Linked DNA regions of Macaca mulatta. The protein of the gene in region 2 purifies or fractionates together with the protein of the main gene of each other region. This does not show direct contact. Links are inferred from orthologs where the notes say so. Each region holds a gene or a part of one and is shown on either strand. Other genes may lie near its edges. The genes, in order: WASF2, BRK1 and ABI1.

The links.
Region 1: the proteins of BRK1 (region 2) and WASF2 purify together in Homo sapiens (co-immunoprecipitation; 3 studies listed by BioGRID and IntAct, with this or other methods). This does not show direct contact. The link is inferred for Macaca mulatta from reciprocal best matches to the Homo sapiens genes BRK1 and WASF2.
Region 3: the proteins of BRK1 (region 2) and ABI1 purify together in Homo sapiens (co-immunoprecipitation; 3 studies listed by BioGRID and IntAct, with this or other methods). This does not show direct contact. The link is inferred for Macaca mulatta from reciprocal best matches to the Homo sapiens genes BRK1 and ABI1.

What each region holds. Positions count from the first base shown.
Region 1 is NC_133406.1:213,548,441-213,551,902, forward strand, and holds part of WASF2 (actin-binding protein WASF2), read left to right. Parts: intron 1-289; coding exon 290-804; exon of another isoform or gene 805-1,054; intron 1,055-2,098; coding exon 2,099-2,256; 3' UTR 2,257-3,462. UniProt on the Homo sapiens protein: Downstream effector molecule involved in the transmission of signals from tyrosine kinase receptors and small GTPases to the actin cytoskeleton. Promotes formation of actin filaments. Part of the WAVE complex that regulates lamellipodia formation.
Region 2 is NC_133407.1:148,970,939-148,974,549, reverse strand, and holds the end of BRK1 (protein BRICK1), read right to left. Parts: intron 2,490-3,611; coding exon 2,407-2,489; intron 1,535-2,406; coding exon 1,508-1,534; 3' UTR 617-1,507; downstream 1-616. UniProt on the Homo sapiens protein: Involved in regulation of actin and microtubule organization. Part of a WAVE complex that activates the Arp2/3 complex. As component of the WAVE1 complex, required for BDNF-NTRK2 endocytic trafficking and signaling from early endosomes.
Region 3 is NC_133414.1:28,134,130-28,137,780, reverse strand, and holds part of ABI1 (abl interactor 1), read left to right. Parts: intron 1-335; coding exon 336-436; intron 437-1,685; coding exon 1,686-1,826; intron 1,827-3,651. UniProt on the Homo sapiens protein: May act in negative regulation of cell growth and transformation by interacting with nonreceptor tyrosine kinases ABL1 and/or ABL2. May play a role in regulation of EGF-induced Erk pathway activation. Involved in cytoskeletal reorganization and EGFR signaling.

The DNA.
Region 1 (3,462 bases), on a different chromosome or scaffold from region 2:
AGATGTCTCAGCTAGCCCTTACCTGATAGAGGAATCTCAAGTCCACTTCTTTCAGGTAGTTTTACTCAATCTGGCTATCCTCCTCTACTGGTGGGAAGCTCATTACCTTACAAGGCTGCTTATTTCATTATTTGTCTGTTCTGACCATCTGTAGGTTTTTCTTTCTGTTTAAGCCAAAGTGAAATGGTATAGTCAACCAAGATAAACCTCGGCTTATAGACAAGGCTAACTGTAGGTAGGTGTTTGCATTCTAAGGGTGATGGTGAGTGTTTTTTCTTTGGCCTTTTAGTTACCCAGTGGACAACCAAAGAGGATCTGGTTTGGCTGGACCCAAAAGATCCAGTGTGGTCAGCCCAAGCCATCCACCACCAGCTCCTCCTCTAGGCTCTCCAGCAGGTCCTAAACCTGGGTTTGCTCCACCACCTGCCCCTCCGCCACCTCCGCCTCCAATGATAGGCATCCCATCTCCACCACCACCTGTAGGATTTGGGTCTCCAGGGACGCCTCCACCACCCTCACCCCCATCTTTCCCACCTCACCCTGATTTTGCTGCCCCTCCACCTCCTCCTCCACCACCGGCAACTGACTACCCAACTCTGCCACCACCTCCCTTGTCTCAGCCAACAGGAGGAGCACCTCCTCCTCCCCCTCCTCCTCCTCCTCCGGGGCCCCCTCCTCCCCCTTTCACTGGTGCAGATGGCCAGCCTGCTGTACCACCACCGCTTTCTGATACCACCAAGCCCAAGTCCTCCTTGCCTGCTGTGAGTGATGCCCGTAGCGACCTGCTTTCAGCCATCCGTCAAGGTAAATTTCAGTGGTGGGTTTGGGACTGTGGAGCCTTGTCTTTCTGAAGCTGGGATGATTGATTGGGGGGTGGGTGAAGGGGTCCCTTTGCCCTTCCCAGGAAACAGCTTTCATTGGGTGGGGAGAGATTGGGACATTAGGTCTGGGAGCAGCCTGAGAAAAGGCTTCACCCTGAAAATATGGAGATTTAGATTTCTTTCCACCTTGGTTTAAAAGTAAAGGATTCTTTTCTTTTTTTTTTTTTTTTTTTGTTTGAGATGGAGTCTCACTCGGAGTGCAGTCAGTGGTGCGATCTTGGCGCACTGCAGGCTCCGCCTCCCAGGTTCACGCCATTCTCCTGCCTCAGCCTCCAAGTAGCTGGGACTACAGGCGCCCGCCACCACGCCCGGCTAATTTTTTGTATTTTTAGTAGAGACGGGGTTTCACCGCGTTAGCCAGGATGGTCTTGATCTCCTGACTTCATGATCCGCCTGCCTCGGCCTCCCAAAGTGCTGGGATTACAGGCGTGAGCCACCGCGCCCGGCAGTAAAGGATTCTTAAGCTGGGATCTTTGAAGTCCTTGGAAATGTATGCTTATGCGTGTTTGCATGCATTTTTTTTCTTGGGAAAGGATCCCCATTTTTCATCAGTTTCTCTGAAGGGTTTTGTGCCTTCGAAAAAAACAAGAATCACTGTCCTAGTGGGCCTTTGTTCAACTGGACTCAGCAACCCCCAGCCTTCTTCACTGCTCTGCCTTTTGTGTCTTCCTTCCTTGCCCCCTGCCCTCTTTCTCACCCCTTTTTTCTCCCATTTTCTTTTATCTCCTCTTTTCTCCTCTTCCCTCCCCTCCCCTCCCGCTTCATCATTTCACCCTCCTGGAACATTTGAGCATTTGTTCTATCAAGGGGCCAGGTGTGGTCCCAAGGGGTTATCGTGGTTTGTTCTGTTTGTGATCCTCAAAAAACTTCTAGTCTAGAGAAGACAGTCTATGGCAGCTGAGCCCCATTATAATTGATGGAATTGGGCAGGCTGAGGATCTGCTGGATGGAATGTGGTGCCTGCTCCCCACTTCAAAGCCTCATGAGAAGTCCTTACCAGCCTGAAAGTGTGTAAACCAGAAAGGACAGCAGGCTGCCTTTCAGACACACCTCACCAGTTTCATACACTCATCTTCTGCTTTTCCATAACAACCTTCTTTTTCTCTGTCCTTTGCAATACCCCTTACCCACTGGTGGCCACTCCCCCTTACCCAGTTCCAGATGGATTCCAAGGCTGAGGACACGCCTTCCTCACCCCTCTGTCTCTTTGCCACCAGGTTTTCAGCTGCGCAGGGTTGAGGAGCAGCGGGAACAAGAGAAGCGGGATGTCGTGGGCAATGACGTGGCCACCATCTTGTCTCGTCGCATTGCTGTTGAGTACAGTGACTCAGAAGATGATTCCTCTGAATTTGATGAGGACGACTGGTCGGATTAACGCTTTCTGCCTGCTGTCCACCTTCTTTTTCTTTCCTTCCTACCTGCCTTCTTTGATGCCAACCCCAACAGATCCGTAGGGGAGAAAGGGGAGGAAAAAAGTAATTTTAAGGGGCCAAAGCTTTCCCTGAAGCAACCAAAGATATATCCAAGTGCTTCCTCCAAATCAACATGTATTTCCTCTCCCCATTGTCAGGCCCTTTGGGGCTCCTGAAGTTCAGTAGCTGGGATGTTCCCTCTTTCCTTCAAGTGCCTGTTGCATATTGAAGGGAAGGAGAAATCCCAAAGCAGATTCCTTTGATCAGGTTTCCGTTGGAGATGGGGCCTTCCCTTAGGAGCCATATTCAACTACAGTCTTCTAAAACCTGTGCCCTCAGCCACTTCAAATAATGCCAGCCACTCTCTGGTTCTAAAGCAGGGGGAGTGGCCTGAATGGACACAGCTGGCCCCTTTTCTGTGCCCTGAAAGGGCAGAGCAGGCCGAAGGCTCCAACGGCCAGACTGCCTCACCCTTTGTCCTAATCAGCAGGGTGGGCCTGCCTTGTGCTAAACGATCTCTTATGCCTGGGATGCCCTTTATTCCAGAAGGCATCAAGCCTCTAAAGAATGTCTCACCTCCTCTGCCCAAAAATGATGCCTTTCTGTAGGCTGGAGTTGTTGCCTCCCTCCCAGGATCCCTTTGGTGAGTATGGTGTTCAGGATGCACCACCACCACCTCTAGATGCCTTCAGGCAACACAGCCCAGTTTTAACCTCTAGTCCATGACCAAACTGTCCCTGACACATGAGAACAGGGGCCTCTTCTGGCTGTCAGGAGCAAAGCCTGAAGACTTGGAGCTGCAGGACTGGAAGAACAGCGGAGCCCCATGGGTCCCACCCTTTAAGGGTGCTGAGGCCTAGAGATGGGAAGTGACTTGCTCAAGGTCACACAATTGGATAGTGACATAGCTAGAGCCCAGAGTTCCTGATTCCAAGTCACCTGTGCTTTCTGGGACCAAAGAATGGGCACCTACTGGAGTCTGGGCAGAGCTTTCTCGGCTGTATTGCTACTCCAGACCTCACCATAGGTTGGGGTCCCAGTAGGAGGGCTCAGGGTCTGTGCCAGCCCTGTCAGTGCTGCTCAAACCTTCATAACCTCTCTTGTCATTCTTTGTTGCCCCTTTTCTGTCACCAACCAACCACATAGCCTTGGGACCAGCCCTTTTGGGG
Region 2 (3,611 bases):
CACGCATGAGCCACCGTGCTGGGCCTTGCGCTAGACTTTGAATGGCAAATATGATTTGAATTGAGGGAAATCAGTGTATACAGAGCATAATGACTTCTGTGTGACTAAAATAGATTCTATATAGTGGATAAGCCTTTAGAAGTTGGTTGGTACAAGTTTATAGTAAGCTTTGGATACCAAAATGAAAAGTTTAAACCATCTGTTTTTCTTTTTTTTTTGAGACGTAGTCTTGCTCTGTCACCAGGCTGGAGTGCAGTGGTGCGATCTCGGCTTATTGCAACCTGCACCTCCCGGTTTCAAGCGATTCTCCTGCCTCAGTCTCCCGAGTAGCTGGGAGTATAGGCGCCCGCCACCACGCCCAGCTAATTTTTTGTATTTTTAGTAGAGACAGGGTTTCACTGTGTTAGCCAGGATGGTCCCGATCTCCTGACCTCATGATCTACCCACCTCGGCCTCCCAAAGTGCTGGTATTACAGGCATGAGCCACCGCACCCGGCTATCTGTTTTTCAAAGAAGTAGACATTTAGCTTCTGCCTTTATAAAACTAATAATCTGCCTTGGATTGTGGCTAAATTGTGTGAATGCTGGTATTTCAACAGACTGTAAGCATCATGTCTGATTCAATGCTGTATCTTTTATTGGAGTTTAACATGCCTACATAGTAAATACTTGGTAAATGTGCTGAATGACCAAATGATTCCCAGGATGAGCTAGTCAGCTCAGAGTCCAAACATGGGGACTTGGGCTGGTAAGCCACCTAGGCTTTGAATCAAACAGCTGCATCTGAAAGTTTTATGTTAGAATAATAATGCCATATATTACATTTCTGTGCAATAAGTAAGTCCACCTCTAGCTCCTCTCCCCACCATAATCACAGCAGTCAGATAAAAAGTTGAGTTTATTAGGGAAATATGGGAGGCATAGACACTCCCAAGTGACAGAAAGAAAAGTCTAAAAATGTCCCTTCAAGCCAAGTGGGGGCCTGGCCTTGACCTCCCCAAATCAACAAGAAACTGGTGGGTCTGCAACAACATTCTCTGGCAGCCACATTGCCAGGGCATGAGTGTCTTGGCCAGGATTGCCCCCCACTTCCCACCAAAGGTGGGGAGGAGATAAAGACTGTTCACAGAAGCAGTGCAAAGGCAATGAGAACTTTAAGGAAAGTTTGAGAGAGAGAGAAAGAAAGATAGAGGCGGGGAGGACCTTCACAAAGAGTCCCAGGGTTTTGGCTGTGAATGTCTCAAATACATTGACAAGTAGATCTATAAAATGTTACTGAAAAGGTAAAATGCCTCATGTCGTTTCCAGCAGTTCCTCTGGACTTCTCCCCACATAACACACCACACCCCAGATGGCAGAGCCCAAAGGCCACACTTTTGAAAAAAGAAAAACAAGAATAAGCCCTGTTGCTCTTTAAGGAGAAAGGAAGGAGCTGAAGGCTGCTGGGGCCTTTCCCATGTGGCCTGTGTTGTGTAAAGCAACTTCCCAGCAGCAGCACGTCACTGTTCTAGGTGAGTGTCTCACCTTTTGTCACCTGTGAAAGGAAAGGAAAATTGACATTTAGATACATTCAAAAAGATTAGAGGGGTCTAAAAAAAAATTCTTTAGATCCTAGGCAGTGAGAAATAGTAGAAAAGAAGATAGCTGTGAAGTCACAGAAACCTGGTTCAAATCCAGGCAATCTGCTGAACTTTTGTTTTCTTTTTTTGAGACGGAGTCTCACTCTGCCACCCAGGCTGGAATGCAGTGGTGCGATCTCGGCTCACTGCAACCTCTGCCTCCCAGTTTCTTTTTTTTTTTTTTTTTTTTTGAGACGGAGTCTCACTCTGTCGCCCAGGCTGGAGTGCAGTGGCCGGATCTCAGCTCACTGCAAGCTCCGCCTCCCAGGTTCACACCATTCTCCTGCCTCAGCCTCCCGAGTAGCTGGGACTACAGGCGCCCGCCACCTCGCCCGGCTAGTTTTTTGTACTTTTTAGTAGAGACGGGGTTTCACCGTGTTAGCCAGGATGGTCTCAATCTCCCGACCTCGTGATCCGCCCGTCTCGGCCTCCCAAAGTGCTGGGATTACAGGCTTGAGCCACCGCGCCCGGCAGCCTCCCAGTTTCAAGTGATTCTCCTGCCTCAGCCTCCTGAGTAGCTGGGACTACAGGTGTGAACCACCATGCCTGGCTAATTTTTGTATTTTTAGTAGAGATGGGGTTTCACCATATTGGCCAGGCTGGTCTTGAACTCCTGACCTCAGGTGATCCGCCACCTCGGCCTCCCAAAATGCTGGGATTACAGGTGTGAGCCACCATGTCTGGCCAGTGCTTAAGCTTCCTAAGACTGTTTCTGCTTTCAGGTTTTTTTCAGTAATAAGTGGAAATGCGCATTCTCTCTTGGAATGCCCTGGCCCATCAAACTCACCCGTGCTTCAATGTACTCTATTCTCCGTTCAAGGGCTGTCAATTTCTCGTTTAGTGTTGCAAGTCTTGAACGACAAGACATATCTAAGAAAAAGAGACTGGTGTTCAGAATTAAGGTCACTTCAAACACAGACACAGACACACACAACTCCTACACTGAAAAAGAGGAATAATACACAGAATACAAATGGAAATGGATACAGTGAGAAGTATCTTAGCACAGTTCCTTAGAGTGGATCTGCTGAATTTCCTATCAAGTATTGCAAGTAGAGAATAACGGCCCCACAAAAATGTCCTTTCCCGCAGGGCGTGGTGGCGCATGCCTGTAATCCTAGTACTTTGGGAGGACTAGACAGGTGGATCACCTGAGGTCAAGAATTCAGGACCAGCCTGGCCAACATCGTGAAACTCTATCTCTTATTAAAAATACAAAAATTAGCCGGGCATGATGGCACATGCCTGTAATCCCAGCTACTCGAGAGGCTGAGGCAGGAGAATCGCTTGAACCGGGGGTCAAATGTTGCGGTGAGCCAAGATCTCGCCACTTCACTTCAGCCTGGGTGAAAGAGCAAAACTAAAAAAAAAAAAAAAAAAAGAAAAAAGTCCTTTCTCTAATCCCTGGATCCTGTGAATATGGATTATACATGAGGAAACAGGGCTTTGCAGGTATGATTAAGGTTAAGAACCTTGAGATCCTAGAGTTTGTCTTGGATTGTCCATTTGGCCCCAATCTAATCATAAGTCCACAAATGTAGGTGAGAAAGGCAGAGGAAGGGGGTCAGAGATGAAATGGAAGAAGAAAAAGAGATTCGATGTGTGAAGGGGATGCAATCTGCCATTGTTGGCTTTGAAAGTGGAAGAAGGGAGTCATGAGCCAAGGGATGTAAGTGACCTTTAGAAGCTGGGAACAACTTTCAGCTGACAGCCAGTAACAAAACAGAGATCTCAGTTCTACAACCACGAGAAACTGAGTTCTGCCAACAACCCAATATTCGAGGAACTAGACCCGCTCCTTGAGCCTCCAGAAAGGAAGGCAGTCCTGCTGAAACCCTGATTGGAGCTCAGGCCAGGAGCAGTGACTCATGCCTGTAATCCTAATACTTCAGAAGGCCAAGGTGTGAAGATTGCTAGCCCAGTTATCCGTGTTCAATTTATGACCTACACATGGTAAATAATAAATTTATGTGGTTTAAGCCATAAAATGTG
Region 3 (3,651 bases), on a different chromosome or scaffold from region 2:
ATGTTCATGCACACATTTCAAAAATTTGTAGGAAACCCAGTGTTTGAATGCACATAAGTCTGATCTCAGTGAACATGTTTAACAATAAAATAAGATAAACAATCCAGTGATCTCACATGTATTTTGCTACAATGTGATATGAATGGCATAAAATAATAGGAAAACCAAGTGCAAGTGGTTCCTTGACTTTTTAAACTGTAGTACCAAAGTCTTTATTCAAACTGTCTGGGAATCCTTAATTCACATTCTGATATTAAAAAAAAATAATACATGGTGTTAAAACACAAAGAGAACAATTTGATATAAAAATAAAAGCATTTCTTTCTACATTTTAGCACGGAAATAACCAGCCTGCAAGAACTGGCACTCTGTCGAGAACAAATCCTCCTACTCAGAAACCGCCAAGTCCTCCCATGTCAGGCCGGGGAACACTGGGGTAAGAATTCAACTACATTTTACAGAAGAAATTCATATGCTAAAGGAAAAGATGTTTCTGTGACTTAAGTAAGTGTATGGGATCCATGCCACACTACCTTCTCTATGTGACACTACCTTTTACAAATTCATTTTAATTCTTGTTTTCCTGAACAGAATCCCAAATGAATCTGCTGGCTTTGTAATACTCTCTAAAATCTGTACCAGGAAAGTTTTTATATACGTATAAATGGCATTGTTTATTTTTTTGTCATCTAATTTTTAAAAAATATAAATCTGACTTGTTTTAAATGGAATGATTAGAGTATTCCAAATGGTGCCTTTGCATGTGTTTACAGTATCTATATTATAGAACTTTGACCAGTGGTCTACTTTTGTGTAGTGTGGCTGAGTCCACAGCTCTTCTGTTTCCCCTATTGGTGTCTGAGACTTAGGGACTCTTTACTTTAGGAAACTATGCACTTTATTTGTAACTATGCTTCTGCTGGTGTTCTTAGGCCTCTTTATACTAGAGTAGCTCCATGGGAAGGCCAGTTGGACAAGTAGAAAAGATAACAGTGGCTTCTTCCTTCTTAATTCTTAGTGTACTAAATATAGCGAATACTTGCTAGGGCATTACGTTTCTTTAAGGTTGCTTTTCTTAATACTGGGAATATTATATTGGATTTCTTATATTTTGGTGGAGGGGTTGTTCAACAATCAGTCTTCTTTTAAGAAGGTCTTAGTTTTCATTTTTATTAATTAAACCCTCCGCCCCTGAAAAAAAAAAATGAAGTTATTAAACAGAAAAGTCGAAATCATTTATTGAGAAATTAATGATTAGAATAGAATGTATGTCTCCATTTATTGCCATATTGAGGTAGGAATAAGTTGCAGCTTCCTATATAAAGAAATTTAGCTTCCTGTTTAAAGAACAGTGGCTTATGAGTGACTGGACTGAGAATGATGTACATTTTAAAGTTTGATATTACTGAGCATTTAAAAAATTATAATTTTTAGAAATCAGGTTAGGACTTTAAATTACCCTTTCCTATGTTTTTCTTAGGAAAAGGAAACAAATTTTAGTTTTCATGTTAAAATAACAAAATTCATATATCCCAGTGAAGAATATTTTTTAAAATTACAAACTTTGTTATATATATTTTTAAATCCTGGCATACATGGTCACAAAGGGAAACTCACATATTTTTGGGAAAAATACAATTTTATCTTTTTTATTCATTATTCCTTTTTCCACTATGCTTCTTTAGACGGAATACTCCTTATAAAACCCTGGAACCTGTTAAACCCCCAACAGTTCCTAATGACTATATGACGAGTCCCGCTAGGCTTGGAAGTCAGCATAGTCCAGGCAGGACAGCATCTTTAAATCAGAGACCAAGGACACACAGGTAAGCCTTTAGGTTGAGTATTTGAACATCTCTAAAGTGGGTGTAACTGACTGGTGACAAACTCCTATGGAGGTGCTGAGTAAAGGTGAAGTGCCACTCTAATGCTAATATCAAATGTGAAAGTTGAGGGAATAATATTATATATGTTCCTGTAAATTTGTGTTATAACTTCTGTTTTTTTTTTTTTTTAAGATTTTTAAACACCTGTTTGTACTATTAATGTATTGTTTGTGTTTCCTCCTTTTGATAGAGGTACAGACTCTATCAGACTCTTTGGGTTAAGACTAAAGAATTTTTTTCTTTTTTTTGTGACGGAGTTTTGCTCTTGTTGCCCAGACTGGAGTGCAGTGGTGCAATCTTGGCTCACTGCAACCTCTGCCTCCTAGGTTCAAGCGATTCTCCTGTCTCAGCCTCCCAAGTAGCTGGGATTACAGGCCTGTGCCACCACACCCGGCTAATTTTGAGTTGAATCAGGGTTTCTGCATATTGGTCAGGCTGGTTTCGAACTCCTGACCTCAGGTGATCCACCCGCTTTGGCCTTTCAGAGTGCTGGGATTACAGGTGTGAGCCACCGTGCCTGGCCCTAAGAATGTTTTAAAATGCTCTTTTAAAAAAATTTAAGGCAAACCACTCAAATACTTTTGGAGAAAAGATTAACTATCATAGGAATTATACAACGTGATTTAAACTTTCAGAGATTGAAGGAAAGAAGATTGAAGTTAAATCTGAGGGAGACTTTCAAGAGAATCAGTATACTAGAATATGTTTTATTATTATTATTATTATCTTTTTGGAGATGGAGTCTAGCTCTGTCACCCAGGCTGGAGTGCAGTGACGCGATCTCGGCTCACTGCAACTTCTGCCATCCAGGCTCAAGCAATGCTCCTGCCTCAGCCTCCAGAGAAGCTGGGATTACAGGGGCACGCTACCATGCCCGGCTACTTTTTGTATTTTAGTAGAGATGAGGTTTCACCAGGTTGCCCGGGCTGGTCTCCAACTCCTGACCTCAGGTGATCTGCCCACCTCGGCCTCCCAAAGTGTTGGGATTACAGGCGTGAGCCACCGCTCCCGGCCTTGTATTTATTATTTTTGAATGTCCTAAAAATCAATTACCCGGTGGATTTTTTAAAATTTAGTTACAGAGTATAACATTCAGAAAAGTATCCACTTTATTAAGTATACAGCTTGATGGATGGACACACACTCATATAACTGTCACCCAGATCAGAAAATGGAACATTATCAGCAACCCAGAAGCCTCTCAAGCTCCTTCCCAGTTATTGCCTCGACCTTCTTCCCCCAAAATGTAGCCACTTCAATTTTTGAGTGCTTTATAAAACCAGATAAATTTATTTTATAACCAAATTTGTTTTATTCTTTAGTTTTCTCTCTCACGTAATAATGTGGGCAGGGAACCTCTCTTTTGCCTTCACTCTTACGTTGGTAAATGAGAGATAACTTATCAAAATGATTTATGGGAATTCCACTAAATAGGGCATATCGAGATGCGAGATGCTAGGTAAGTGGTATTTATTACTATTGCCACTGTTAGTAAACAAATTGTTAAGTTGATATCTGCAGATACTGTATCAAGTCAAGTTCTTTGAGGAACAAAATTGTTCTCTTTGTTGTTATTTGAACTATTGGATCAAAGTATAGGTTTTCTCTATAGTGGAAGCATAGTTTAATCATATTCAACAAACAGTTATTAAGTGTTGTTTCATTAGATATTAGGCATTTGCCAATAAGGCATAGTTCTTTTTTCAAGAGCTCATTCTATTAGAACAGGGATCAGCACACGTTTTCTATAAAGGGCCAGATTGTC